Linked DNA regions of Ovis aries. The protein of the gene in region 5 interacts with the protein of the main gene of each other region in a pairwise test. Links are inferred from orthologs where the notes say so. Each region holds a gene or a part of one and is shown on either strand. Other genes may lie near its edges.

Region 1 (3,500 bases), on a different chromosome or scaffold from region 5:
GATACTCATCGGGAGCGGGGGCCGGAGGCAGCGGCTTGGAAGCTGAAAGGCGACAGAGATGGCCGAGTGAGAACCCGGGTGGCAGCCTGGGTTGAGAGGGTGCTGCTTTATCCCTCCACTGCCCACGCAGTGCCATGCTTTAACAGGCCCTGTGTGCTGAGCCAGGGCACCACAGATGACCAAGTCCCACGCCCTGCCGTGAGGCCCACAACACAGGGGCTCTCAGTGCCTATGACAAGCCCCCGCTAGCCATCCTGGAAACAAACACAGGTCTGAGAGACACAAGGCATAAAAACGGAACCCACCTTTTGGGTCATAGTCCTTCCGGACAATGACCTGGTCTGGAGTTGGGGGCAGAGGAGGTGGCATGGGTGTCTCCGGCGGGGGCGGCACTTTCTGCCCTTCCTCTTCATCATCCGAACCCTGAAAAGCAAGGCAGTAGTGTGACTCAGGGCAGGAACGAGAAGCCACCTCCCTGCAGCTGAGCCCGGCAGCTCGCAGGGTGGCAAGCAGCCGAGGCCCCTGCCGGCCAGCATCCCTGTGCTAAGCTCCCCGGGCAGCCGGGGCCAGCCGGCAGCAGGCCAAGCAGCTTCCTCACAGCATGAATGGCAGTGCTGGGGGCTGTGGTGCTGACACTCTGCCCAGGCATTTCCAGCAGCTGGCACCAAGCAGTCCCAGGAGGCCAAGGGCACTTAACGTGCTGGGGAGGGCCACAGAGGGCGAGTCAGCGCTCAATGGGAGCCACGCAAGGAGCAATGCTGGGAGGGAGAGAAAAAGTCAATTCCCACAGACACGTGGGCCTTTCTTCTCAGGCTGCACACAAATTCTTTCCGAGAGGAGGAAAGCGGCTTGGCTCTGGAGACTCTAAGCCTGTGGGGAGGCCTGGCTCAAAGGGGCAGAGGCACCCAGAGGAAGCACAAGCTACAGTCAGAAAAGCTCTGGAAACTGTTAATCATTTGGACCTAGGCTCAAAACATCCAAGTATCCGGGACAGAGGGTTCCCTAAGGAAAGCCAGCCTGGAGGGAATAGTGAGCGGGGCCTCTGGGCAGAGGAGGACGGTCACCAAACAAGCCGACGCGGCTCGTGGACCCTTGCCTATGAAGGAATCTTTGTTGCCCGAGCTGGAAAAAGGGGCGCCTTACTCAGGACCCAGGTCTGCTCTCAGGGTTCACGAGGGGGCTGGCACACTCAGTCTGATGGAGGAGCGCACCCCTTTGCCCTTGGCTCCAGGGAAGAGTCACCCCAGACCCCCCAGGAGCACACCTCGTCCATGTCTTGTACTTGGGTGTCCTGGTCCAGCTGGGACGGAGGCTCCTCCGCCTTCTCCTGTTTCTCATCCTCCTCATCGGACTCGACCTCCATCTCGACCTCCTCGCTCTCCCCAAACTTCTCGTAGCGCTCCTGAATGAGGATCCGGGCCCCCAGCTCCTCCGGGGTGGTAGGCGGGGGGAAGTTTCCTGGCAGAGGGTGAGCAGGAGTCAAGGGAGGGCTCCACAGACACTCCTGTCAGAGGCCCGTCAGGCAGCCTGCCCCACGCCGTTGGCTCTCACGGCTGGGGCCACCTGGTCTCTCTCCCACACCCAGAGGCCCACCCAGGGCCGGGCACAATGCTATCTGTTGAACTGCGAGTAACTGGGGCAGCGGGAGGACCGAAGTCCTCTGGAAACAAGGAGGAGACAGAAGCCTCACTGGGATCCTCCCGCTCCCCGGGGACAGCCTGGCCTGCTCCCCAGGAACAGCTTGGCCCACTCCCCCAGGACGATGGCGCCAAGCTCCTGGCTCCGCCAACAGGAGTCATAGACCAACCTTGCTCGTTGGGTTGGAAGTCCACTGTCTCCACCACCACGAAGTCATGCCAGTCGATCTGAGCATAGGCGACCCGCTCCTTCTCCTTCTCCTCCTCTTCCTTCTTCCTCTCACGCTCCTGGAACTTGGCCCACTCCACGCGGTAACACACCTGAAGGGAGGAGAACGGCGCGATGCTGAGCTGAAATCAGGGTTGGCTCCCAAGGAGGCTGTCACCTCCAGGGCCTTCACCAGAGTCAGCGTCTCCTTCAGAACAGGAGGCTGCTCTGCCCACCAGGGGGACTTCCTGGAACAGACTATGGAACCTGCATCTGGTTTTAGCCAGGCCCAGAGTCTGGACAGGATGAAAATCTGAATGCCAGAGACCTTTGTCTGGGCCCCAAGGGCAGCTCTCTGTTAGAACCTCAAAGTTTTCTGCTTGTGTTGGCGGGTGGCGAGCAAACTCCTCCCTCCCAGGAAGTCTGTGTGACAACCATGTGCCCACAGGAGCTGCGGCAGCCTGACCGCCTGCACAACAGAAGGCTTCAAGCAGCCTCCCAGAACTGCCAGCATCAACACACCTGGTCTCCTGACTCTGAAAACCGGACTTCAAAACCGGACTTGGGCAATTGTCGCCCAAGAACCCATTCAAAAGCTGGCTTCTAGCAAGAGAAGAAAACCGGAGACCGACAGAAGTGAAAAGGAGAGTGGCAAGTTAGGGACCAGGGAACCCAGGTCTCTTTGGTCTTTGCAGCCTCAGTGCCCTTCTTCCCTCCACGACTAAGGTGTCGATTCAGAGACCATCTGCAGACACACAGCAGGACCCACACGCTGGGACCTGTGCTGTTAGTAACTGGCCGTAAAAAATGCAGTTTAGGACTTCCCTGGCGGCACACCTGCCAACGCAGGGCACGTGGGTTGGAACCCTGATCTGGGATGATTCCTCATGCCTCAGAGCAGCTAAGCCCGAGCACTGGAGGGCCCATGTGCTGTACCTGCTGAAGCCCATGCGTCCAGAGCCTGTGCTCCGCAACACGGGAAGCCCCCACGCTGCACCAAAGAGCAGCCCCCGCTCACCACAAGCAGAGGCAGCCGCACCAAGTGACGGGACCCAGCACAGGCACAAAGAACAAGACAGTCAGAAAAGAAGAAAGGAAGACGGTCAGCCTACCTGGTCCAAAACTTCCCGGGGGTTCTCTGCCTCTCTCTTGAGTTTGGTAAATAAGCCTTTGGGTGGAATCAAGATCTGAAACACAGAAAAGGTGAAGCAGCTGTCGGTGCAGCACAACCCGGGACAGAGTGGCCTGTGGAGGAGAAGGGAGAGCACGGGATCACGGGACCAACCTCCTTAGCTGGGCAACGCCAGGCACGTGCCTTTACCTCTGTGACTTGGCTCGCTTCTACAAAACGGTGACACCGCCACTTAAAGGTGGCACTGTCAACTTAAAAGGCTGCGAGGATTCGCAGGGAGAAAGCAAAAGCACCCGCAGATCACCACGCACACCGTCAGCATGCAGTGACTGCCCCCGGGGCGGGTCTGCCTTTCTGCTTCTGCACACGCCCCCCAGGATCCCCAGCGACCTTGCTGAAGACTGCAGCCCACAGGTTCCCCCTCCCTGGACTTCCACGCCCTGCTTTCTCTGGAGCATTTTATCCACGGTGTTTATCACCCCTGGACACACACTAACGGTGCACTTGCATGTTGCCCCCTCAC
Region 2 (3,927 bases), on a different chromosome or scaffold from region 5:
CATCAGTCTTCATTCCTGCTCTGTCACTGCAAAGACTTAAAAATTTTCTAATGAAGGTCCTATCTGGCTCCCAGCTGGCTTGGGGCCACCTCCTGCTTACTGCAGCAAGAATAGAGTGAAATCAGCTCCAATCAGCTAATTGAATTGTTTACCATTTTCAATGTTTTCTTCCATTATTATGGCTGAATTCAGAATACCCTGCAAAATACAGAAACCTTAAAGAGAGTAACAGGGAATTATCTTTATCTAACAGGGAATTATCTTTATGTCAGTCACCTTTACTTGCATGGCCAAAAGTCTTAACTGATTTTATACAAAGCACACATACTTCTATAAACAATGACAGACTTAAAAACAAATTCATAAACCATCAAGACTTTATCATTAATTCAACAAACATTATGCTAACATACTGCAGATAAAATAAATAAACCCTACTCTCAAATGAGAGGGAAAAGGTAAAAATAAAATTGAGAGCAACAGAGAACAAGTAGTCCAGGAAACAACTGAGAGCAGCAATTCCAGACTATCTGGTATAGTTTATAACACAGTTAAAGCAAAGGAAAATTATGAAAATTACCAAAGCTGATCACAGCTCTGAGCCTCCTAATAGCCAAAGTATAAAGACAAACAGGATGGCTTACGAATAGAAATGATCTAATAAAAAGAGTCATTTGTTTAAATTTTTTTGTAAAGCAAAGAAAAAAATCAAAAAGGCCTGTCACTGAGGGCTTAAAAGAACCCGTCTTTAAGGTTTATACTTTATAAGGATCAGTAAATAAATTATAAACAGTGTCTTGGGTAGCAAGGAAGAGTTTTTTCATGTTCCCTTTCTCATGTCCCAATCCTAGATAAAAGTTAAAGTACAAAATATTAATTCACAGTTCTGTGAAGGAATTTCTATAAGGATCTAAAGTAACATAATGCAAGTACACTGGTGATGTGTTAATTTCTATCATTTAGCTTAGTCTAGGTTTTCATAAATGCATGTTTTGCTTCTCTACCAGACTGTAAACACTCAAGGCTTGCGTTGTTTGATTCCATTTGAACTTCCTTTGCTTTTTAGTACAGCTCCCGCTCAATTATAATGACCGATAAAATTTTACGCAGTCAATATTTATAGTCTTTATCTATTAGTCTTCTCTGCAACACTACAAATTCCATGAGGACAGGAACAATGTCTTGATCATGTCCACATCCCCAGTCTCTGAGCATATGAATGGACCAAAAAAAGAAAACACAACCAAGAAGTATGAAAGGAGAGGAGAAATAATTCCTAAAATGTCAGTGATTCTGTTCTAACAAGAGCTGCAACACCTAGGTAAGTTACTTAACTTCTCTAACCCTCAAAGCTTTAATCTGTAGAAAAGGAAAAAAATAACACACTTCAAAGTTACTGTAAGCATTAAACCTTTTACTCTACAGAAAGTATTTAGCACAGTATCTGGAAAAAAGTTCATTAAACGTTACCCCTTTAACTTCTCTCAAGTTCTCCAACTGAAAACCCCGTGTTAAACACAACAGTGCCATCAAAGAATAAACTATTTCAGTAAAAGTACAACAGAGTTCATCCTTCCTTTCCTTTGAAGTTAAAATTTCATCTCTTCAATCTTTAAAATGGAAGGGGAATAGCTTGTGAATTACTTTCAAAATATTACAAACGCAAGAACAAGGGGAAAATGTCAATAATGAGCCTTGAAAAAAAAAAAAATAAAAAAAAAAAAATAATGAGCCTTGAAGTAACATGAAGGGAAACATCACTTACTCATCTACTGTTAAGAAACAGGTTTTTAAGGAAGTGTTTATTAAAGGAAAAGAGGACTGAAAAGTTAGAAATGTTATTTAATAGTATGCTTAGAAAAATTACTTCCAAACTGTTTATTCAGAATTTAAACCTTAAAAATCAATTATCTTGACATCGTTTGCTTAGAAGCCGAACATTAAATACTTCCATTCAAACCGAAAACATTCCTTCATGACGGCTTCCCGGACTCCAGTCATCCTTCAGTCCTCTCCTCCCATTTTGAGCTTCTCTCGCATCACCACTGACACACGCTGTGTGCAGACTAAGTTCTGTCATTCCTATAATTACCACACCCCTGTCAGCCGCTTCAGGCCCATGTTGTTATGACATCTGTAAACTGCAGTCGGCCGTCTCCACTCCCCTGCCCCTTCCCCCGAACCTCCGGCTCTGGCTGAAACTTGACAATTTCCGAGACCAGACCGTTCCCTACTGCCTCAGTTAGGGTTTTTACACACACCCCCATCCCCTATTCTCACCTGGCTCAGTCACGCACACTCTGCGCAGCCCACCCCCGCCCCCACGCCCGTCTGCGTGGGGCCGCGGCGCTGGCTCCGCGCTGCCTGCTCGGCTCCGCGCTGCCTCCTCGCCGCCCCGCAGCCTCTGCGCCCCGCAGTCCCCGGCGCCGCTTACAGCCCGGCTGCCGCGCCACCCCGCCCCGCCCCGCCCCGCCTCGCCTCCACCGGCGTTCCCGATGGCGAACACACCAGCGCTCCCCACCCCCACCGTCCCCTCCGCCTGCCGCGCGGCCGTTAGGACAACCGGGCCCGTGACGCACGGACGCGCCGCGAGTGCCCAGGCCCAGGAACCCGAGCTCGAGCACAGGCGGCGGCCGGCCCTCGCCGCGGGGCCTCTCCTGGGTCCCGCCGAGGACTGCCGGATCGGCCGGCGGGAGGGGGAGGGGTCGGGGGCCGCCACAGCCCCGCACTCACCAGGTTCAAGGCAACCGATCCCGGTGCCACTTCTGGGGTGAGCCTCTGCCTCGCTCGCTCGCCTGCCGTCCGTCTTCTACACACAACCTCGAAAGAGTCGGCTCTCGCCGCGCGGTGCTCACCAGGCCTCGCTCGTCGCCTCCGCCGCCGCGCACCCAGCACAGCGAGACCTAGCTCAGCCGGCGTTCGCAGTGCGCCTGCGCGCGGGGGCCGGGCCGCGCACTTGCGCGTTCCTCTCCACCACTCTGCTGCAGAGGCTGCCGGGAGATGTAGTCTTTCAGCTTGTTCTCTGGAGGCTCTGGCGGTTAGCTGGGAACCAGTGGAGAGAGTCTGGAGTCCGGGAGAAGGTCCGATTGAGAAGGTGGGCAGTTAATGACAAGGGTTGGAGAGTCATGCTGGAGTGACAATGAAACGGTAGTTCTTAGGCTGAATTGCAAAGTTATGTTTTGTCTTCGAAGTTCTTCCAGGGCGGCAGGTCGATCTTCGCTCACCTGTCTATAGCTAGCCACTGACACGGTTGTTAACTAGAACACGTTGATGGAATGAATGAAGGCTGAGGGATTTTTACAAGAGTTATAAGTCAGCGCCTCATGGCTCAGGCGTTCACGTGCAGCACGTTTGAGAAAACTTCGGGCTATATCATATTTGGTTCTGTCCCGTCCCGCTTTGCCTGGTAATGCACTGAGCAGTATCAGAATTCATTAAGGAATTAAACGAAACATGAACGCTGGCTTTACTCTCAACAAATGTTCTCCAACGAAAATTTGGGGCAAATAATTTACTGTTAAATTTGACGGAATTCTCTTTGGGGGATTCTTTTTGAGCAGTGGCTTCTAAAGAAAGACTGAAGGCAGCCAAGCAGAGGTCACAGAATATAAAGTCTCACATATAACGGTTTATCAAATCAACCTAAAACACACACGGAGAAGCAGGGTGGAAGAAATGGGATAACTCTGTAACATTAGAGCGGGAGAGAGGACCATACGATGCAGTGTTCATTTGTCCTGGATGTCTTTCTGCCACATCAGTGTTTCCCACTAAAGTGTGTTTTCTAGGATGTGTTGAGTTCGATCAAGGGCCCTGGTGAAAGGGAATGTGTTCTAAGGGGGAGACTTGGCCACGGGGTTGCAAAAGAGTCAGACATGACTTAGCTCACCACCACTGAGCTAAGGACAGATCACTTTATTCCAATCA
Region 3 (4,046 bases), on a different chromosome or scaffold from region 5:
AGTGTCTACATGCTTGCAGTCAGCAGTTCTCATCTGGCAGAGGCTGCTTCCTGTAAAAACAACCTAGGGACGTGTGTCAGACCTTTATCGTTCAGGGCCCTGGGAAGTGAGTGATTCTGCTCTGTGGTGGGTTTATAGTATAAATTGTTACCAGTTTCCTGGCTCAATAGCTATTTTATATCTTCACATTTCCCAGTCATTAACTCTTGAGTCAGCCGTTTGAGACTTGGGGAGGCCCGGGAGATTAAGCAAAATCATTTTACTTCAAAGGACAGGGACCTAGGGTTTGTATATGATTTCAAATATAGACGAGAAAATCGCATTGACACAGAATCCTATTTTCTCTTTCGTCCCAAATTTTGTCCTATCGTTTTGAAATCATGAGGCTTTATAACATGTACCGTGTATGTATACATGTATGTATACGTATATAACATGTATCCTGTAACTCTAACTTCATACCCATGATTTTCTTATCCCTTCCCTTGTGACTCAGCTGGTAAAGAATCCGCCTGCAATGTGAGGGACCTGGGTTTGATCCCTGGGTTGGAAAGATACCCTGGAGAAGGGAAAGGCTACCCACTCCAGTATTCTTGGGCTTCCCTTGTGGCTCAGCTGGTAAAGAATCTGCCTACAATGCAGGAGACCCAGGTTTGGTCCCTGGGTTGGGAAGATCCCCTGGAGAAGGGAAAGGCTACCCACTCCAGTATTCTGGCCTGGAGAATTCCATGGGCTATACAGTCCATGAGGTCTCAAAGGGTCAGACACGACTGAGCAACTTTCACCTCACACAGTTAATTCAGCACCCCTGGTCTTGTCTTTTACAGCCCTTTGGCCATTCATCTCTCCTACTATGATTTATCTTTAGCTTTGTGCACACTGATGATGAACAGTTTTTTTTAATATAAATTTATTTATTTTAATTGGAGGCTAATTACTTTACAATATTGTATTGGTTTTGCCATATATTGACATGAATCCGCCACGGGTGTACATGTGTTCCTCATGAAGCCCAAATTTGTAGCCCTCCTCTCCGCCTGAGGTCAATGCCAGGCTCCCGGGTCTGTAGCGTCACAACCTTTTGCCATTGCGACCCCTCTTGGCTGCAGAGGAAATCTCTCGGCTCTGCGGGCGTGGTCCTCCGGACGGCAGGGGGCGCACGGCAGCAGGGGCGCCCTCAACGCAGGCGCCGGGTGCCTCTCTTCCGGCCGTACGCGCCGTGACCCCGCGCCGCCGCGCGTCCCGCGAAGTCTGCGTAGGGGTTGGCGCCGGAGCGGTGCTGCGGTCGGGGGCTGACGCCGAGCCCCCAGCCCGCGGTGTCGGCGGCGCGTCGGCCTCGGTGCGCCGCCGCGGCCCGGGATCGTCGGCCGGGCGGGCCGGGTAAGTGGTCTCTGGGGCCGGTGGGCGGGCGTGGGCCGGGGCCGGCGCGCCTCCTCGGGCGGGCGTCGCGACAGGCGAGGCCGCGGCTTTAGGCCGCACCGCGAGGGGCGCGGGGCGGGGGTCCTGACCGGCCCCGCGCCGCTGGCTGCCCTGGCCGCTGGCAAGCCTCCCGTCTTCTCTCTCTCCCTGCTCCCCACGTCCTTTATGTGCCTCGGCTTGCAGGGCCCTCGCACCCCTGCTCTCCCCTTTTTCTTCCTCGTCTGTTTGCTCTGGCCTTGTGTCTCCTGGACCCGAGGGCACCTTTCCCTCTCCTGTCCCCTCCCTCTCGCTGTCGGTCTGTCCGGGAACAGCTGTTGGTCCCTTGAACCCAGTAGCCGGGGCCGCCGAGGAAGGAATCCGTTTCCGCCCCTGGCTTCGAATCAGGTGTGGCCATCCCTCAGAGACGAGGGTTTTACCTGGACGAGGCTCTGGCACTGCCTCGGACCCTGTCTTTTCTTAAAGCGGTGTTTTAGCTTCGATATCCAGTCACAAAGCGTTTTTTGTTTTTTGTTTTGCTTGAGCGTTTCCTTTTGCCCAGGTCATGTTTAGGAACAGCAAATAGTTAGATCAGTAAGATTCTGTCTCTACGCTCCCGTGAGTTTAGTTTCCAGAGAAACAAGTGTAAAAAGCCACGCCTCGGTCGGTCTGGAAAGGCTTCCTAAGGAGTGAGGCGTGTAACTGAGCCTTGGGGGTGTTTTGTTAAATGTGCAGGATGGGGGAAAGCTTCCTTGCAGAGGAAATAAGGGTAAAGGTAGCGGAAGGGAAGCACCGTAGTGCATTCTGGAAACTGCAGGAAAGGTAGATAGTGTGAACGTGGGTAGTCAGGTCAGATCAAGACGGTTCTCTGAGAAATCAATGGAGGAGGGTCCTGGGAGGTGCTTATTCCTAAGGGCAGGCAGAATAGTGTATGGTGAAGTCGCTCAGTCGTGTCCGACTCTTTGCGACCCCGTGGACTGTAGCCTGCCAGGCTTCTCCGTCCATGGGATTCTCCAGGCAAGAATACTGGAGTGGGTTACCATTTCCTTCTCCAGGGGATCTTTCCAACCCAGGGGTCGAACCCGGGTCTCCCGCATTGGGGGCAGACGCTTTAACCTCTGAGCCACCGGGGAGGCAGGCAAGTGGGTGGGAAATAGGATATTCTAGGGGAGGGCAAAATTCTGGACATTCTCAGGTAGGTGCGGACTGTGTCTCCCCTCAACAGGTGGAGTTTTTAAAGGATGCAGTTCAGTTTCCACAGTTCTGTGAGTTAAGGGCCACAGGCATTTTGACTATAGTGAGGATATTTAGGCGATATGGGATATTACATTAGTAACTTAAACTGTAGGTGATTTATTTTTAGAAGAAATAAAGCAAATGGTATATACTAAGAAATGTGCTGTGTGCTGACTGACCACTCACTGATATATTTAGAAAATATTTAAAAAGTGCTTAACAATGTCCCACGCAAGGTGCTCAGTTGGAGATATAAAGATGAAGACAGAAACATCCCTTAACGCCTTGAGGGGTTTATGATATAGTAAGAGACAGACATGTCACCCAGTGGAGCCTAACAAGACGTGTGTTCAGGGGGTAGCTGGTTTTATGTGAGGTTTGTTGTCAGCAAAGGCTTCAGAGATATACTTAAAAGATGAGCACATGGGGTGCTGCTGAGAAGACGTCTTCCTTGTTCTTTTTTGCTAGTTGCACGTGTTTTAAAAAAAATACTTCTCTAGCTTGGGTAGAATCTTGAAAAGTCATCATTCTTCCAGAAGAGCTGTGTTTACCGTGTTTCTTTTTAAGTAAAAGAAAAAGCATACCTGGAAGATGTGTTGATCAAAGGCTGATGTTACTATGAAAACGAAGTCAGTAGTGAGGCGGTATTTTAAAGAGGTTATGAAAATCAACTGTTTGTATTTCCATTTGGTCCTGGCTTCCTAAGATATATTCAGATGTTAGAAAGTGCTCCGTTTTTATTACCTGCCACCAGACTTCATGAAATAAATGTGTTGTATCATCTGAAAGACATCTGAGCATTAAGCAGGTGAAGTTCAGGTCCTAACAGAGTCTTGTTAGTGCGCTTGTTATTTTCAGCGTTTGCCGCAGAGAGGATGCATGAATCAACTGTGACATAGTTACAAGTACTCAAGGCAGCCACAGTGAAGATACATGCGCCTTTTAAGGAATGCATGCAGCAAGCTGTGTCGGTAAGGTGATGTAAAAGGAGGAAAGGAAGGAGTTAGCATGGGGTTCAGGCTGCTGCTGGGCCAAGGAGATCACTTGGGTGGATGGGATGGGATGGGGACCATATGGGTGGAGGGTGGTCTCTTGTCTCACTGGTGCTTGTTGCATTATAGTAGTTACTTAAAGCAAGTCTTACAAGTGCAGGTGGGTAGAGCGTGTTGTTGCTGTGGTCCATCCAGTTCTATGAATTTGAAGGTCTGTGGAGAGAAAAGTGAAGAAAGCTCTTCTGCCTTTACTGTGATGAGATCTGATGTGTAAGCTCCGAGGTACAGAAAGCTAGCAGATGCTAGTAAGGGGGCATCACTTTGTGATATTTAAGGTATGCTTTTGAAGGTTCTGAGGACAGAAACGGGGAACTTTAAATGAACATAAGATTTTGCTGCACAGTGACTTTCGAAGCTTGCAGA
Region 4 (3,500 bases), on a different chromosome or scaffold from region 5:
GAGTAATATTGGAGTGCAGCAGCAGCATTGAAATGGCATTTTTTAGGAACCACGTATGTTGTTGTTCAGTCACTAAATTGTGTCCAACTCTTTGCAACCTTGTGGGCTGCAGCACACCAGGCTTCCCTGTCCTCACTATCTCCCAGAGTTTGCTCAAATTCGTGTCCTTTGAATCAGTGGTGCTATCCGACCATCTCATCCTCTCTCTCCCCTGTCTGCTGCCTTGGATCTTTCCCAGCATTAGGGTCTTCTCTGAAGAACCACATAATTAGGCAGCCAACCTCTGAAAGTTAGTCTTTGGTCATTTTTCTTTGCAAGACTGACAGTTTAAAGACTTGGCTTTTTTATTTGTAGAGAACCTTATTTATTGATAGAACTGTGTTAGTTACTTCACCTAAGAGGGAGGGAGGAGGGGTCAGTCTCCTATTTGGTCTTAAGCCTAAGGACGTATTGAAGGTGTTGATTGGTATTGATCAACAGTAATATAAATAGAATCTGCCAAGTTCTGTCTTTTTGAATGTAAATACGTAATGGTCCCAAATTTCCTGCCATCAGTTTTTGTATATTTGTATTTAGAGAAATATCTAGCTGGCTCTTTAAGCCGAGAAATTTTAAGAGCATTTTGAGTTCCAGGAAATTGATGTGCTTTAGAATGGTTAGTACATCTGCTGCCTGTTGAGTAGTAAACTAGTGGAACCACTTGTAAGATGATGTTATGAATGAATTAGAGTAGAAAAGGAGAATTAAATTTGGTGTAGTGGTTAAGGAAATGGGATGAAAACATTGTGTATTTGTACACCAAAACAATGTCCTGCATTTTTAATAGGTTGAAATACAGAAATGAAGACCATCTTAGGATTCTTCTTAGGAAACAGAACATTTCAAGTTTGGCTAATGGCCATATTTGTACTCCAGTTGAATTTGTTTGTTGTGAAAGCAAGATAAAGCGAAAAGAATGATTTTTAAATTGTTTTAAAGACCTTAGATAACTTTTTCTACCTGTCCATAGTTTTGCCCTAATTTAAACTTAATGTCCTCACTTAGCTTCATTTCAGAATATTACATAAGAGTAGCAATTTCTGTTCACGTTAGTATTTCTGCTGCTGCGTCGCTTCAATCGTGTCCAACTCTGTACAACCCCATGGATGGCAGCCCACCAGGCTCCCGCGTATTTCTAGCACCACTTTATAGTTGATACCCAGTAACTATTTGTTGAATGAATACAATTATGTCAATTTGTACTGTTTACTATGGCAGATACTATTTTAAGTACTTTACACAAATATTTTTTGGAGGGGGCTGGTAGTATCTTAAGAGTTGTATCTTTTTGCATGTTTTTATGGCACCTGAAATATTTTGCTTTAAAAATACTAATAAACTGAAAATTTTGATGTTTCTAGATTTGGAGCAAGAGGTGGTGGTGGCCTTCCCCCAAAGAAATTTGGTAATCCTGGGGAGCGTCTACGTAAAAAGAAGTGGGATTTGAGTGAGCTCCCCAAGTTTGAGAAGAATTTTTATGTCGAACATCCAGAAGTGGCAAGACTGACTCCAGTAAGTTTTAGGGGCGGTATTTATTTACCTTTTCTTGACGTACAGTAATGAACCAAGTAGATAAATTAGCCAAAGTTTACTCATACATATATATATATATATATACACAAAGTTTACTCTTGTATTTTTTATTCTGGTGTGGTGGGGATTTTTCTTTGGTTCTTGTTAGGAAAGCTGATACTTGTAAGAGAAAGCACTTGATTCTCATACGTTGGTTATATTTCATTTAACTGTTCTCATGTGGAAAATGAAACCTACTGCATGCTTCGTTGACTTAGAAAGTTGGGTGAAGTTGAACATACATGAAAAACACTGTAAGAAGTGTTAAACATATTTTCCATTGTAATTGTGAATTTGATCCTTGTTATGCTATATTGGAACATAAAGTTTTGCACGTTTAGAATAAATTGGTTACTGATTTGTCTTACTTTGTTTCTTAAATAGTATGAGGTTGATGAATTACGCCGAAAGAAAGAGATTACAGTGAGAGGGGGAGATGTTTGTCCTAAACCTGTGTTTGCCTTCCATCATGCTAACTTCCCACGTAAGTGCTTTTCAGTCCAGTATATTAATTGTTAATTTAGCTTGAATGGTCACTGTGCTCATAAGTTATTTAAAGGTTTTGACCCAGCTCAGGATTTTGTTGAAAAGACAAACAGAAACCTTTCACAAAAGTTCTTCAAGTATTTTGGCAGGGGGAGTTGTCTTTTTAATGCTCATGTGTTCTCAGTTTAGAACTTCTTTGGGTCTTTTGCAGGGTTTTTTGTTTGATTGGTTGGTTGGTTTTCATCTTTCCTTGGGGTTTTGCCTCTACATTTCAGAAAAATAGCAAAATAAAATTGCTTTCTACCTGGATAAAATTTGGATTAGATAAGCAGTAGGTGGCTATTAGGTGCCCATGCCTTGTACCTTAGATACTTTAGACCAATGGTTTTCAAGTTTTCGAGAATAAGGGTAGATGGCTATGGCAGTAGCCTTCTTGAGAAGTAGTCAGCAGGTCAAATAACTGAATTTCAGTAACTGAAGACAAAACTACTGCTTCTCTTGGAGAGATGTATAATTTGTTTTGGCTGTAGGTTCGCTTCTTAGTTTTACCTAAAAGCAATAATATCTGTTCTTGTACAGAATACGTAATGGATGTGTTGATGGATCAGCACTTTACAGAACCAACTCCAATTCAGTGCCAGGGATTTCCCTTGGCTCTTAGTGGCCGAGATATGGTGGGCATTGCTCAGACTGGCTCTGGGAAGACGTTGGCGGTATGTACCCACAAGGGAAGACTTTTCATATTGTGGTAACTTATTTTGCTGTTGTATATTAACATATATTCTCAGTGCATAAAATTCTAATTCAAATAGTGGAAGTAATATTTCAGCTTTTTAGCTATCTGAAATATGTGGAAGCATTTTATGTTCATATTTGCGTTGCATATATATGTAAGAGATGTGAATTCTGTTTTCCCTTTCCTGGTTTTACTTAGACATTATCAATTACTGTGATAACTTAGAACAGTTAATATAATGGCTTAGTTTTGGTATAAGACTGTCCTTCTTTTCTCCTCCAGTATTTGCTACCTGCAATTGTTCATATTAACCACCAGCCTTATTTGGAAAGAGGAGATGGCCCAATTGTAAGTGTATTTCAGTTTGTGTATACTTCGAAAAATAACTACAGTTTATTATTATGTTTCAGGCACTGTACTTTACATGTGTTCTCAGATTTCATTCGCAACCCCACCTTCCATATCTGGAGGAAATACTGTCTTACTGGTAAATCTTAGGCACAGTGACTTGCCCAGGGTCAGACAGTAATTAAATTGCTGAGCTGGAATTTGAATCAGTCTTCCTTTTAACTACTGTGCCTGTTACCTTCATATGTAGGCATTTAATACAGATGCATTGCTTAATTGCCCATTGATACTATGAGGGATACAAAGGTGTAAAATGAGA
Region 5 (4,300 bases):
CCAGAAAAGATGCTGAAGGAAAGGTTAAATTCAACAAAATGGTAAAAGGGGGTAAACACACTTTCAGAACCACTTTTTGATTAAACTGAGTTTTTTCCCCTTTCACAAAGTACCTATAAAAAAATAAAAGACCACATTTTAGGGAAAGGAGGAATATGAAATTATGGTGAAAGGCCAGGCTGTGAAAAAGGTACTTGGTTTACAATACCTGCAGTGTTCTCCACTGGGGCCAAGTCCAGAGAGGCATGTAACACTCACCTCATCAATTGGTAATGAACAGCAGCTGAAAAGGGTGGGGTGGGGTGCTGGGCTGGGAACTATTCTCATTCCTAAGCAGGCCCCTCTACCCTTCTGGCACTCATGGAGAACACTGCTGTTACCAACAGACCAAAACAAGGAGCTACAAATGCAGGACTCACAGAGCAAAAACTTATGGATTACATCAAAGTCATCTGACCATAGCTCCTCTCAAAGAGAAAACTGTAAAGTCCCAAACTTTCAACAAATAAAATGTTCAGTAACGATCTGAAAATGCATTTGAGTGCAGAACGTGTATTTACCTATATAAGCTCTTTCTTGTTCCCGAGTAAGTCCAGGGGGGATGACTGTAGGCATTCCTGGAATCACCGTCTTCTGTTCCATTGTGTCTTGATTCCAGCGGCTCCTCTTCCGCTTCTTACTGGGGAAGTCTAAAAGAGATAAGGTTCGTCAGATGCAAAGATAAACCAGCAGAGTAACTACCAACAAGCAGTTTAGGATACTTATTATACTACACACAACCTCAGCAGACCGTGAAACTGAGAACTTGACCTAAAAAGAAACAGCAAAGAATGGAAGACAAACCTGGGAAGTCAAAAGACATGGCCACTAGAAGGGGACCTGGGTCTGAAAAGTTAACATGGCACATTTATGATTTTTGTCCACAGAAATGTTGTGAAATATGTAAACAAGAAATCTCAGTGCATAAAGTTTCAAGTAGTGAAATAAAAAAGTATTGAGATAATAGTATACCACATGGTGTCCATAAACCTCTTAACAGCCCCAGGACATAAGAGCAGACTGAATATTCAAGGGTATAAAGCAATATTGTTAACTTCTGGCTCCTCCCACCTCCCCACCAGTCACCTGAGACAAAACGCAACTAAACTTATGGTTATCAACTGAAAAACCTGGATTTTTCAGCAAAATCACTTTTCTCCTCAGAGGTTTGGCTAAGGTCAGCATTTTCCTGGCCAGGTGGACACTTAGGGTCTAAAAAATGTATCAAGTTCAACAAAGAACAAGCTATACAACAAGAGCCAAATCTTTCTTCCCCAGTACACAAGCAGAAACTTCCTGGCGTTTGATACACAAAGGCGCCTTCTCAGGAGCAAGACCCAGCGGAAAAGCCTCAAGAGGAGGCGTGTCATACTTCCTAGGTAGATACAGTGAGATATGGAAACGAACGGAACATCCTTCTCCAAAAAGGGCCACAAAAAAATCGGACCCAAACACCCCCTGAAGACTTTCATCCATTCTGGTTCTGAAGTGAAAGCCCTGTCTTATTAAAGAAGTTTTAAGGAGCTTCTCTTGGTACTTTCTTCCTTTAGGACTCCACTACAACCAGGAAGAGGACGCTCCACGTCATCAGTCGACCCTTTCCGCCCTCCGGACTTGCACATGAGGCACCCCAACCACCCACTCGATCCCCTATCCACACCCGCTCCTGAACACCAGGGGCAGAGAGCAACAAGGGGTCCCCCCAATCCCGGCTTTTAGGACAGCCACAAAGCCCGGCCGCCAAACTGCGCCTGCGCGCAACAAACTTCCTCCCGCCGGGCCCCCACCCCTGAGGCGCGTGCGCACTCGAGGCCCGAGAACCAGGCCGCGCGCCCCGTGGCTCCGCCGCCCGGGCCTCCCCGTGCGCGCGCGCGCCCCTGCCGCGTGCAGCCGCCGTCGCCGCCGCCGCGCGGCCCTCAGCCGGCCGGGCCCATCCGCGCAGCGCCTCGCGCGCTCTCTCGGCCCGACTCACCTCCTCCGCCGCCGGTCGGGCCCGGCTGCTGGTCCTGACGCGGCGGCTGGGGTGGCGGTGGCTGTGGTGGCGACACGCGCTGGTAGAGCGGCGGCGGAGGGGGCGGCTGCGGCGGCGAGTACGAGGAGCCCGAGGAGGGGGGCGGTGGCGGCGGCGGCTGCTGGGGAGGCGGGGGGGGCGGCGGCGGCGGCGGCGGCGGCGGCGGTAGCGCCGCAAAGGGGAAGGCCGCGGTCAGGGCCCCCACCGAGCCCACGGGCGGGGGCGGCAGCGGCCCGGACACCAGCAGCCCCGCCCCAGGCCCGGGGGCAGTCGGTGGTCCCGGCTCGAAGCCCCCTTTGGGGCCAGGGAGGGGAGGGAGGCCTGGGGGGCCCAGCTTACCCAGCGGCGTAGCGTTCGCTCCGGTCGCCATGGCGCCCCCAGGGACCGGCACCGGCGGCTCCTTTTCGGCGGCGGCTTCTTCTTCGCGAATCTTCTGGGGGGAGGGGACCCGACTGCGCTGCCGCGGAGCGCGCGGAACCCGTTCTCTCACGCGGCGGGGCGGCGGCGGCGGCGCGAGACGCACAAAGAGGGAGGAGAGAGAGCGCCGCGGGGGCGGATCGGGGGCGACGGGGCCGGGGCCTGGATTGGGCCGAGCGGAGGCAAAGGGTCGGAATCGGCGGCCTCCGATTGGTGGAGCCTTAGCTTTTCTCGATGCGCGCTGGGATTGGCCGGACCGTTAGGCCAGGCGAGGAAATGGCGGCCGAGCCTGAAGAGCTGGGAGGTGTCGCAGCGCGCACTTCATTTGTTACTGCGCGAACGGAGCTCGGAGTCCAGAAAGGAGGGATAGGGTGGGGCAAACTCTGTGACGTATGGGGCCAAGAGCTCTCCCATTGGCTGGGTTGGTGTAGTCAATCAATCTCCATTGCGTTGTAATGTCCTGGGATTGGCTGTCGCTGGTTCTTTTTTTTTTTTTTTTTCCTTTGCTCCTTTTCCCCGGGGAGTAATTTCGCTGGGTTTAAGCTAGAGGTCGCGGCGGGAAAGCCTTGGCGGAACAAGAATTGGGGTCGGGGAGGAGCGGGACAGGAGCGGGCATGCATAGATGGGGCAAAACCGTGTCTCTGTCCCTGGCTTCAGCGTTGACCCTCGGGTCCGGCGCGGAAGCCCTTGGTGACGTCAATCCTCGAGTCCCATGGTAACCCGGAACCGAGGGGTGGGGGAGGGGCTGGCGCGGACCGGTAAACCGGATCCGTCGACAACACAGGTAAACGAGGACTTCCTGTTTTTGAAAAAAATAAAAAGTGGGAGGAAGAAGGATTAAAAACGGTACCGAGCCCATGGAGGTACACATATCTTAAGTGGAAGGCAATATGAAGTTATCAAAAATACCGTGCGTTTTCATTAGAATCCCAGCGAAGTTAAGATTGATTAGATCATCTTTTAAGTCAAATAAAATAACTGAAAATAGTGGGGAAATTTGTAAACTAGGTTGAGGAGCTTGCCTTTCCGAATAATACAATAGAAAAGACACACTAATGAAACAATGTGGTATTGTTGTAGGAAAGACAGTACAATAGGATAGAGTCTAACCAAAAAAATGGCATTTCAATTCAGTAAGGAAAAGATTTAGCTAGTAAATGGTATAAAGTGAAGTGAAGTCGCTCAGTCGTGTCCGGCTCTTTGCGACCCCGTGGACTGTAGCCCACCAAGCTCCTCTGTCCGTGGGATTCTCCAGGCAAGAGTACTGGAGTGGGTTGCCATTTCCTTCTCCAGGGGATCTTCCCGACCCAGAGATCGAACCCAGGTCTCCCGCATTGCAGGCAGAGCTTTAACCCCTGAGCCCTATAGAGTCCTAAATTTAAACAATAGAACAGACACAGTACAATTTAGGAGATTGTCGGAGTCATCTAGGGGTAGAGACTTTATGAAGACAGGAAACAACAAAAGTTAGTTACCAAAGGAAACTATGATAAAAGTCAACAGTAATACATTAGGCAAGTATACTTGCCATACATATGATAAAGAGCTAATATCTGTAATATGGAAATAAGTCTTAAAAAAATAAAAGAGAAAAACAACAGAAAATGAGCAAAGACTGAATAGACAAGCCTGAGAAGAGCAGATCCAAATAGCCAAAAATATGAAAAGTACCAATCTCCTAAGAATGAATGCAAATTAAAAGTGATATGAGACGTCTTCAACAATCAGGAAAAAAAAAAGCTAAGTTACTACTTTGAATGCTTTTTTGAAAAGCATTCTATTATCTATTAAAATTATACCTCTCAAAACTTCCTTGGTAGTCCAGTGGGTAAG
Region 6 (3,500 bases), on a different chromosome or scaffold from region 5:
CTGTACTGGGAAGACCCGATGAACTGTAACGTGTGCGGCAGGTGGGCGTACTGCACCGGGGACACGGGGGCCCCGGATGGCGGGGGCGGCGGGTATGCCGCGGGCATCGTCGTGGTGGATGCCACCGCCGGGACGGACCGGGGCGCGCTGGGCGGGGAGTAGTCCAGCCCCGTGGACAGCGCTTTGTGTAAACCTATTCCCTGCTGTAAACCGAGCTCCGCCGGGGGCCCCGCCGGCCCTAGCCGCCCGCCCACGTGGCCCCGGGCACCGGGGAGCCATGCCGCATTCTCCGCGCGGTGGTTGTCGCTGGGCACTGCCTTGTCCTCCGAGGACGGCCGGCTGGTGGCGGGGATCTCGCGCTTCTTGGGAGGCAGGCATTCGTTGCTGCGCTCTTGGTTGGATTTCATTTTTCGCCGTCCCCCCTCCACGGTGACCGTTTCACTGTCGGACTGGCTCTGGTTTTAGTCTGATAAACGGAAAGTCACATTTGATTTCTGTAGGGGATCCAGGCTCTTCATGAGGAATCATCTCCCCGTGGGTGCGATCCTCCAGCAGCTGCTCTGGAATCTGGGAAAAGGCAGAGGGTCGGGACCAAGAGGGAGAAAGGGGTGGGGGGTGGGGGAACAGGGCGTCAGAACATCAACACCGGAAAAGAACACCCTCCCGCGAGATTGATGTGAATCCCCCAAAATCCTGCCGCCAGCCCCACTATTAGAGCAGGTAAAACGCTGCCGTGTTGGGTAGGACATCAGGAAGACCATTAAGCCATGGAGCAAGTCAAACCTTTTTTTATGGGTTTAGTAAGTCTTCTAAGATATCTCTCTCAATACCTTCTCCCCTGCCCCTTTTTCTTTTTGGAGGGCAAACAATGCATTTCTCAGTTTCCTTCCCAGAAATGGCCCTCCCACTCCTCAGCTGTATCTTTACCCAGTCTCTGGAGGATCAAATGAAGCCTACAGGGAGGATGGCACCAGTGACAATCAGCCCTCCTCTGAGCCAGGCACTGGGAGGACCAGGTTAGGAAGGGAAGTCCCCAGCGGATTTCATAGCTTATCTGAGTCCTCTGCCATAGTGAAAGTAGGAAGTGGCTCAGCCCTCTCCGACTCTGCGACTCCATGGGCTATACAGTCCATAGGATTCTCCAGACCAGAATACTGGAGTGGGTATTCTTTCCCTTCACCAGGGGATCTTCCCAACCCAGGAATTGAACCTGGGTCTCCTGCATTGCAGGCAGATTCTTTACCAGCTGAGCTATCAGGGAAGCTCTGCCATAGGCACTACTCAAAGATTCTAGTGACTCTGGGTCCATACTGGATTTACAACAATTCTCTCTTGCCTAACACACACACACACAGACATAAACAAACACACTATATACAGGCCAACTGAGCAGAGGCAGCCCCAAATAATTATGTTCTCTACACGTTTCCAAACAGCTCCCAGTACAGCTACTCATACGGTAACAGCCAAAAGGAATCTATGAGACAGTCAAAATAGGAACATGGTTTGGTTTTTAAAAATGCAATAATCAGGCATTGAGGGTGTCCTTAATGAGGGCAACATGCTTGCTTCATCTCTGCCTCTTACTTCCTTTCCAAGTGCTCTTTGAATTCTCTCTCCATACTCTCCACCCTCTTCTTGGAAAGGGCCAGTCCACCATGAACCCTGGAGATGAAGCCTCTGCTAGACCAATCAGGCCTGTGTGTTTCAACCTGGCCATACAAGTAGGGAGCCAGTTTTCATGGACACCTATCTCAGTCTTTTGGGAACCACCGAACTCTGTTACCAGAACTGTGTAGGCAGACAGATGTCCACCTGGCAAGAGGCAGATCATCAGTGGAACCAACAGGAACTAGGCTAACAGGAGGCAGATGTGAGGGCTGCCTACAGGCTGTCAGCAGTCTTGTGCTGTGATCCTGGAAAGTTGCTGAATCAGGTTCTGGGAATTCCAGGTCCTGGGTTTTAGCATTTCTCCTACCCAGACCTGTTTTCTATAGTCTGATGTTAAAACAGACAAAATAAGGCAGCAGTTTTCAGCATTACCCTCCCAACCTCCGGCTTTATTAAGCCCCAGGTATAGCCTTCTCTTAGGAAGTTCATGGCATGTAATTTACACCTAATATATACAAATCTACTGAGATGCCAGTGCTGTTTTCAAAACGACAGAATAAAACTAAACTACCAAAATTGAAAACAGTTGACGCTTTTGACTGCTTAAAAAGTGTTGATACCGATCTTTTATCTCTAGGTTTCAAGTTACTCTAAGAAAGAGAACATAAACTGGCATTCCCATTGGGACTAGCAAAGGAAAGTGATTTAGGAGATGGACTCAACGTGAACTGCTCCATGCGCCCCCTGCTGGCCCCACAGTAGCACTGCTCCAATAAAACCCCACAGGATTTCATTAGGGATGTTCATGTAAGAGTAGTGTGTCAGAATCCAGAATGAGAGTATTTGCATATAGCAGCCCAGCCAGTAAGGGAATAGGTTAATTAGCCCAAGGCAGCTCTAGGGAAGGAAAAAATAGCAGCATAAAAGTCCTTTCAAAGCCAAGCAAAATGTCAAACACGTTTGCAAAGAGGTCCATTAGCAATGCAAATGTGAAATTGCTGCACAATGGAACACACCATACACAAAACTAGAAAACTCCTCTGAAGGTACTTTTTAAAACAGAACTCAGCTTCAGTGAATCTGAAAAAAACAATGCTGACTTGGTTCTTAGCAGTGCCTTGGTTTATATACACTGTTTTTTTGTTTGTTTTGAGAGACACTGGGAGGCTTTGTTGGCCTTAAAGATCTCATTATAGATTCCATGGCTGGTTTTTCTGCTAATGGACCACTAAAACATATCGGCCTTAACACACAAATTCAAATGCACTCTTCTGAAAAGTGGTCCATTGATAAACATCTTTTCCAGATAATAACTGACACTAAGTCAAGGATACAAAGATTAACTGGAGCAACCCTGGGGCCAGACTGATATAAATTTCGGCTCACCCTCCTACATTTAGAAGGACCATGTTTCCTATTTACCAGTGCAGCTACAGACGTGGGTCACTGTAATTCTGGGGCACGTGTCCCTGTTCTGCGCTTCATTGGCTCTCTGTGCTGTCCGTATCTCTCAGCAGGGGAAGTCATTGTGAGAGTAGGGACTGTGTCTAGCTATATTTTCAGTGAGCCACGAGAGGGCACCACAGGACGCCACTGTGTCCCTGGTACATTGGATGATGGTTCACGGGATGAAAAAAAAAAAAAAAAAAACAGAGATAAAACTATGAAGGTAGAAAGTACAGGAGGGAAAAGGGAGAGAGAGAGAGAGAGAGAGACTAGGAAAGAAGAGAAGAAAGGAGAGTGGATGTCTGCTTTTAGGGCTTCTTTCTAGCTGCAGACAAATGGGCTTCATGTCCCTAATTGCCTTTTCAGTGCTGAAACACACCAATGGTTCGTTCACCTGAGTCCCCCAGACAAGGCGTGTGCCTCCGGATGCACCTGCCGCAACA
Region 7 (3,500 bases), on a different chromosome or scaffold from region 5:
GGAAACCAGGAGGGATCAGAAAGGGAGTGAAAGGGAGTGTTTCCATCTTCCTTGAGGATGAGCTGGAGTAAAACCCAACAGGGAATTTTTGCATCTCCCAATCCTAATACCAGCATGAAAACAGATGGCTGCAATAAATAAGCAAAATAACAGAATTTAGCATTACTGCCTGTTTAACTTTTCCAGGCAATTTTGAAATTTTCATTGACAAGTTCTACTAAGTACACTATCAGTGTTTTGTTGTTGTTTTACAGCAAATATATTTTTCAGTGTGAACAAGTGAATAAGTGTGAACAAGTCATCACATACTCTACTTAACTGCCTTTCTTCTGTCTCTTAATTGTGTCCACATCTTTGCCACCCCATGGACTGTGGCCCGCCAGGCTCCTCTGCCCATGGAATTTCCACGGAAGAATACTGGAGTGGAGTGGCTTTTATCCTATGTATAAAATGGAAAAGACCTTCTGTTGACATAGATACCGTTTTCCAACTGTTTCCCAATTGCATAAGAACATAGAAAAGAAACGTAAGAGAGTGAGTTTCAGGGCTTGATCTCTTTTAGGCCCAAGTGTGGGCTTCCCAGGTGGCTCAGTGGTAAAGATCCACCTGACCGTGCAGGAGACTTGGGCGCTATCCTTGGGTCGGGAAGATCCCCGGGAGTCGGAAATGGAAACCCACTCCAATACTCTTGCCTGGAAAATTCCATGGACAGAGAAGCCTTTCAGGTTACAGTCCAGGGGGTTGCAAAGAATTGGACATGACTAAGCATACAGCACATATATATATATACTTAGGCATATACATTGTGTGTGTGTATAAAACTTGTTTTATAGTTAACAGACATTTGTAGGAAGAGTTGGTCAGTGGTCATAAAGGACTCATTGTCACTTGAGCAAGATGGTATTACAATTGCTTTTTTTCCTGGCGTATTGTTTTTGTGGTCTAAATCTGGTTCTTTATTTTCAGGGCTACGAGGGTTCTCTTATAAAGCTCACATCTAAGCAGGTAAGCATTTCAAACTTGCACATAAGTGATGACTTATAGAATAAATTTTGATTGACTTTCTTCAGGAATGTCACAAGGGCTCAACATCCTTTTTTTTTAAATTTCCATTAAGATTTATTTTTTTATTTTTTTGCTCTAAAATTAAGGGTGAGATCAGTTAAGAATTAGCAGAGGAAAATGATTCCTAATTCCAAAGCCTCCAGCTAGAGTGTCTGAGACTATCCTCAAGGAAGGCAAATATAATGCCTCCAGCATGGTTATATTGGGATTGATCTGTATCTTCAAAAGAAATTATTGTCTAGATTCACTTTTACTGCCAATTTTTTTTTAAAAATACAGTTAAATAGTCAGACTTTTCATTCACAGTCAGTATGAGAAGTTGATGGTAAAGAATCAGGCTCTGTCTCAAACCCTTAATAACCACATGCAGAGTCTTAAGTCTAGAATGGCGCATAAAAGGCACAGGTGCAGAATGGAGGTAGTAATCAGTGACCCTGATAGCGGCTTCAAGGGCCTTGAAATGTTTTGGCTGTGCTTTTTTTTAATCCTGAGCAACCGGCATCTCACTTTGGGTCACTTTTCGTCTCAATACAGTATTCTCTGGTTCATCAGGAATAGGCTGTGTTGCAACTATCCTTCTGGACTCAAAGATACTGAGTCCAAAGCAATTAGGAGTCCTCTCTTGAGTTGGAACAGTATGGTTTACACACCTAATTAAACACAGAACTTTTTAAAAACATCCCTTGGGATTTGAGATTAAAATGTTCATTATATAATTTTGATCGTGCAGTGAGACTACAGGGCTTTTATCACTGTGTCATTATATTCCTTGCACTTACAGTGTACCAAAAGGTGATTCGGTTCTCTTTGCATTTTAAACGATGAAGATGCTGAGGTACAGTGAGTTCGATGTAGGACAGTAGAGTCCCTCCACCCAAGTTTCCCTCTGTTCCCTGGTTCACTGCTGCTCACCTTCCAGCCCCTTCTAGACTTAATTTTTTTAATGATTCTCTAAATCTCCAGCTGTCCCTTGAAGAACCACCCTCACCATCCCTTTGATCCATGTTAGAAATTTGGCTAAGCCACTGAGTCATGATTCTTCTGGACTGGCTTTCTGATTTCTGCCCATTGCCTGCGGTCATTTCTTTATCTGAGCTCTTTGGTTTGATGTCATCTTTGACCCAGAAACAGAGACATCCCCTGATATTTTTTTCTTCATATTTCTCTTTCTTTCCTTAGCCCGTAGGTTTTGTCAGTTTTGACAGTCGCTCAGAAGCAGAAGCTGCCAAGAATGCTTTGAATGTAAGTACGAATGATGTTCATCTTCGGGGGTTTCCTTATGAGGTAAAGGGAAAGTAATAGAACCTCTTTGGACAGGAAAGCAAATGGAAGGGATATGACTACTTGATCTAAGAGGAACCGACTCTAGTTAGCCGCATAAAGAGATTTTGCCTAAAATTGTGGTTAGATGTGCAGACTATTAAATAACACTTTGCTCGTCTCTAGCCCTTACTGTAATGCTCAAGATACCTGATGCTGGGGATTTTATTTTAATTCAGCCCAATCATATCCCATGGTGGTGTGCAGTTTACTTCAGCCCCCATTATATCCTCAGTGGCTAAGCCCAAGTCAAGAATAGAGAAAGATCTTGGCTTTCCTTAACACAGGAGGCTTTTAAGTTGTTTGGCTTTTAAGGGCTTCCCTGTCTGTCCAGTGGTGCAGACTCTGTTCCCAACGCAGCAGGCACAAGTTCCATCCCTAGTCAGGGCTGCCTAAAAGTGTATTGTTTAAAAGGTATGTGACTTTAAAAAAAAGTTGTAGTCTTTATTCTGATTGATTTAAAATTTGCATATACTACTTCCCCAGAAGACATTCAGCATTGTGGTGTATAATAAAGGATTTCCTTCTCCAGTGCATGAAAGTGAAAAATGAAAGTGAAGTTGCTCAGTCATGTCCAACTCCTAGCGACCCCATGGACTGCAGCGTACCAGGCTCCTCCGTCCATGGGATTTGCTAGGCAAGAGTACTAGAGTGGGTTGCCATTGCCTTCTCCGATAATAAAGGATAGGCAACTACAATTGAGTAGAGATAACCTGTATTTGGTTTGAAAGCATTTTGTTTCCCATATTTTTAAGACTTTTTACCAGCTTTAATTTAGTAAGATTTTTTTCCCTCCCTTTGGTATGTTTTTTTTAAACAAAAACCAAAAGCAATTTAAGGGGAATCAACCCGGGACAAGGTGGTAGGAAGCAGAATTTAGTTCTGGGCGCCAAGGCCTGATCCAGGTGAGGCGTCTCAGTGAAGAGCCTGGCTCCATCCCTCTCCAGACAGTTGACTTAAGCGGCTATGAATGAGGTGTGAGTACAGCTGCCAGGAGTGTTGGAATACTTCTTGGAGGGTCGGCTTATGTGAACTTGTGGCTGTGGGTCCTGAAGGTGTTCTCCCAGCTGTTTCTCGGCGCCTGGAGGCCCAGGGACCCTGTGGTGAGGGGGGCT

What was found.
Region 1: the proteins of SF1 (region 5) and SF3A1 interact in binary tests that used the Homo sapiens proteins (3 or more experiments, as listed by UniProt). The link is inferred for Ovis aries from reciprocal best matches to the Homo sapiens genes SF1 and SF3A1.
Region 2: the proteins of SF1 (region 5) and KPNA1 interact in binary tests that used the Homo sapiens proteins (3 or more experiments, as listed by UniProt). The link is inferred for Ovis aries from reciprocal best matches to the Homo sapiens genes SF1 and KPNA1.
Region 3: the proteins of SF1 (region 5) and RBM17 interact in binary tests that used the Homo sapiens proteins (3 or more experiments, as listed by UniProt). The link is inferred for Ovis aries from reciprocal best matches to the Homo sapiens genes SF1 and RBM17.
Region 4: the proteins of SF1 (region 5) and DDX17 interact in binary tests that used the Homo sapiens proteins (3 or more experiments, as listed by UniProt). The link is inferred for Ovis aries from reciprocal best matches to the Homo sapiens genes SF1 and DDX17.
Region 6: the proteins of SF1 (region 5) and ATXN1 interact in binary tests that used the Homo sapiens proteins (3 or more experiments, as listed by UniProt). The link is inferred for Ovis aries from reciprocal best matches to the Homo sapiens genes SF1 and ATXN1.
Region 7: the proteins of SF1 (region 5) and RBPMS interact in a two-hybrid assay, tested with the Homo sapiens proteins (3 studies listed by BioGRID and IntAct). The link is inferred for Ovis aries from reciprocal best matches to the Homo sapiens genes SF1 and RBPMS.

Annotation. Positions count from the first base shown.
Region 1 is NC_056070.1:69,352,954-69,356,453, forward strand, and holds part of SF3A1 (splicing factor 3A subunit 1), read right to left. Parts: intron 3,033-3,500; coding exon 2,958-3,032; intron 1,959-2,957; coding exon 1,808-1,958; intron 1,459-1,807; coding exon 1,265-1,458; intron 424-1,264; coding exon 306-423; intron 43-305; coding exon 1-42. UniProt on the Homo sapiens protein: Component of the 17S U2 SnRNP complex of the spliceosome, a large ribonucleoprotein complex that removes introns from transcribed pre-mRNAs.
Region 2 is NC_056054.1:187,775,848-187,779,774, forward strand, and holds the start of KPNA1 (importin subunit alpha-5), read right to left. Parts: upstream 2,801-3,927; 5' UTR 2,734-2,800; intron 2,409-2,733; exon of another isoform or gene 2,281-2,408; intron 1-2,280. UniProt on the Homo sapiens protein: Functions in nuclear protein import as an adapter protein for nuclear receptor KPNB1. Binds specifically and directly to substrates containing either a simple or bipartite NLS motif.
Region 3 is NC_056066.1:10,877,075-10,881,120, forward strand, and holds the start of RBM17 (splicing factor 45), read left to right. Parts: upstream 1-1,246; 5' UTR 1,247-1,380; intron 1,381-3,494; exon of another isoform or gene 3,495-3,602; intron 3,603-4,046. UniProt on the Homo sapiens protein: Splice factor that binds to the single-stranded 3'AG at the exon/intron border and promotes its utilization in the second catalytic step. Involved in the regulation of alternative splicing and the utilization of cryptic splice sites.
Region 4 is NC_056056.1:216,001,639-216,005,138, reverse strand, and holds part of DDX17 (probable ATP-dependent RNA helicase DDX17), read left to right. Parts: intron 1-1,400; coding exon 1,401-1,551; intron 1,552-1,995; coding exon 1,996-2,095; intron 2,096-2,676; coding exon 2,677-2,810; intron 2,811-3,115; coding exon 3,116-3,181; intron 3,182-3,500. UniProt on the Homo sapiens protein: As an RNA helicase, unwinds RNA and alters RNA structures through ATP binding and hydrolysis.
Region 5 is NC_056074.1:39,464,498-39,468,797, forward strand, and holds the start of SF1 (splicing factor 1), read right to left. Parts: upstream 2,801-4,300; 5' UTR 2,421-2,800; coding exon 2,012-2,420; intron 690-2,011; coding exon 561-689; intron 1-560. UniProt on the Homo sapiens protein: Necessary for the ATP-dependent first step of spliceosome assembly. Binds to the intron branch point sequence (BPS) 5'-UACUAAC-3' of the pre-mRNA. May act as transcription repressor.
Region 6 is NC_056073.1:39,996,763-40,000,262, reverse strand, and holds part of ATXN1 (ataxin-1), read right to left. Parts: intron 568-3,500; 5' UTR 408-567; coding exon 1-407. UniProt on the Homo sapiens protein: Chromatin-binding factor that repress Notch signaling in the absence of Notch intracellular domain by acting as a CBF1 corepressor. Binds to the HEY promoter and might assist, along with NCOR2, RBPJ-mediated repression. Binds RNA in vitro.
Region 7 is NC_056079.1:25,712,936-25,716,435, forward strand, and holds part of RBPMS (RNA-binding protein with multiple splicing), read left to right. Parts: intron 1-966; coding exon 967-1,005; intron 1,006-2,244; coding exon 2,245-2,307; intron 2,308-3,500.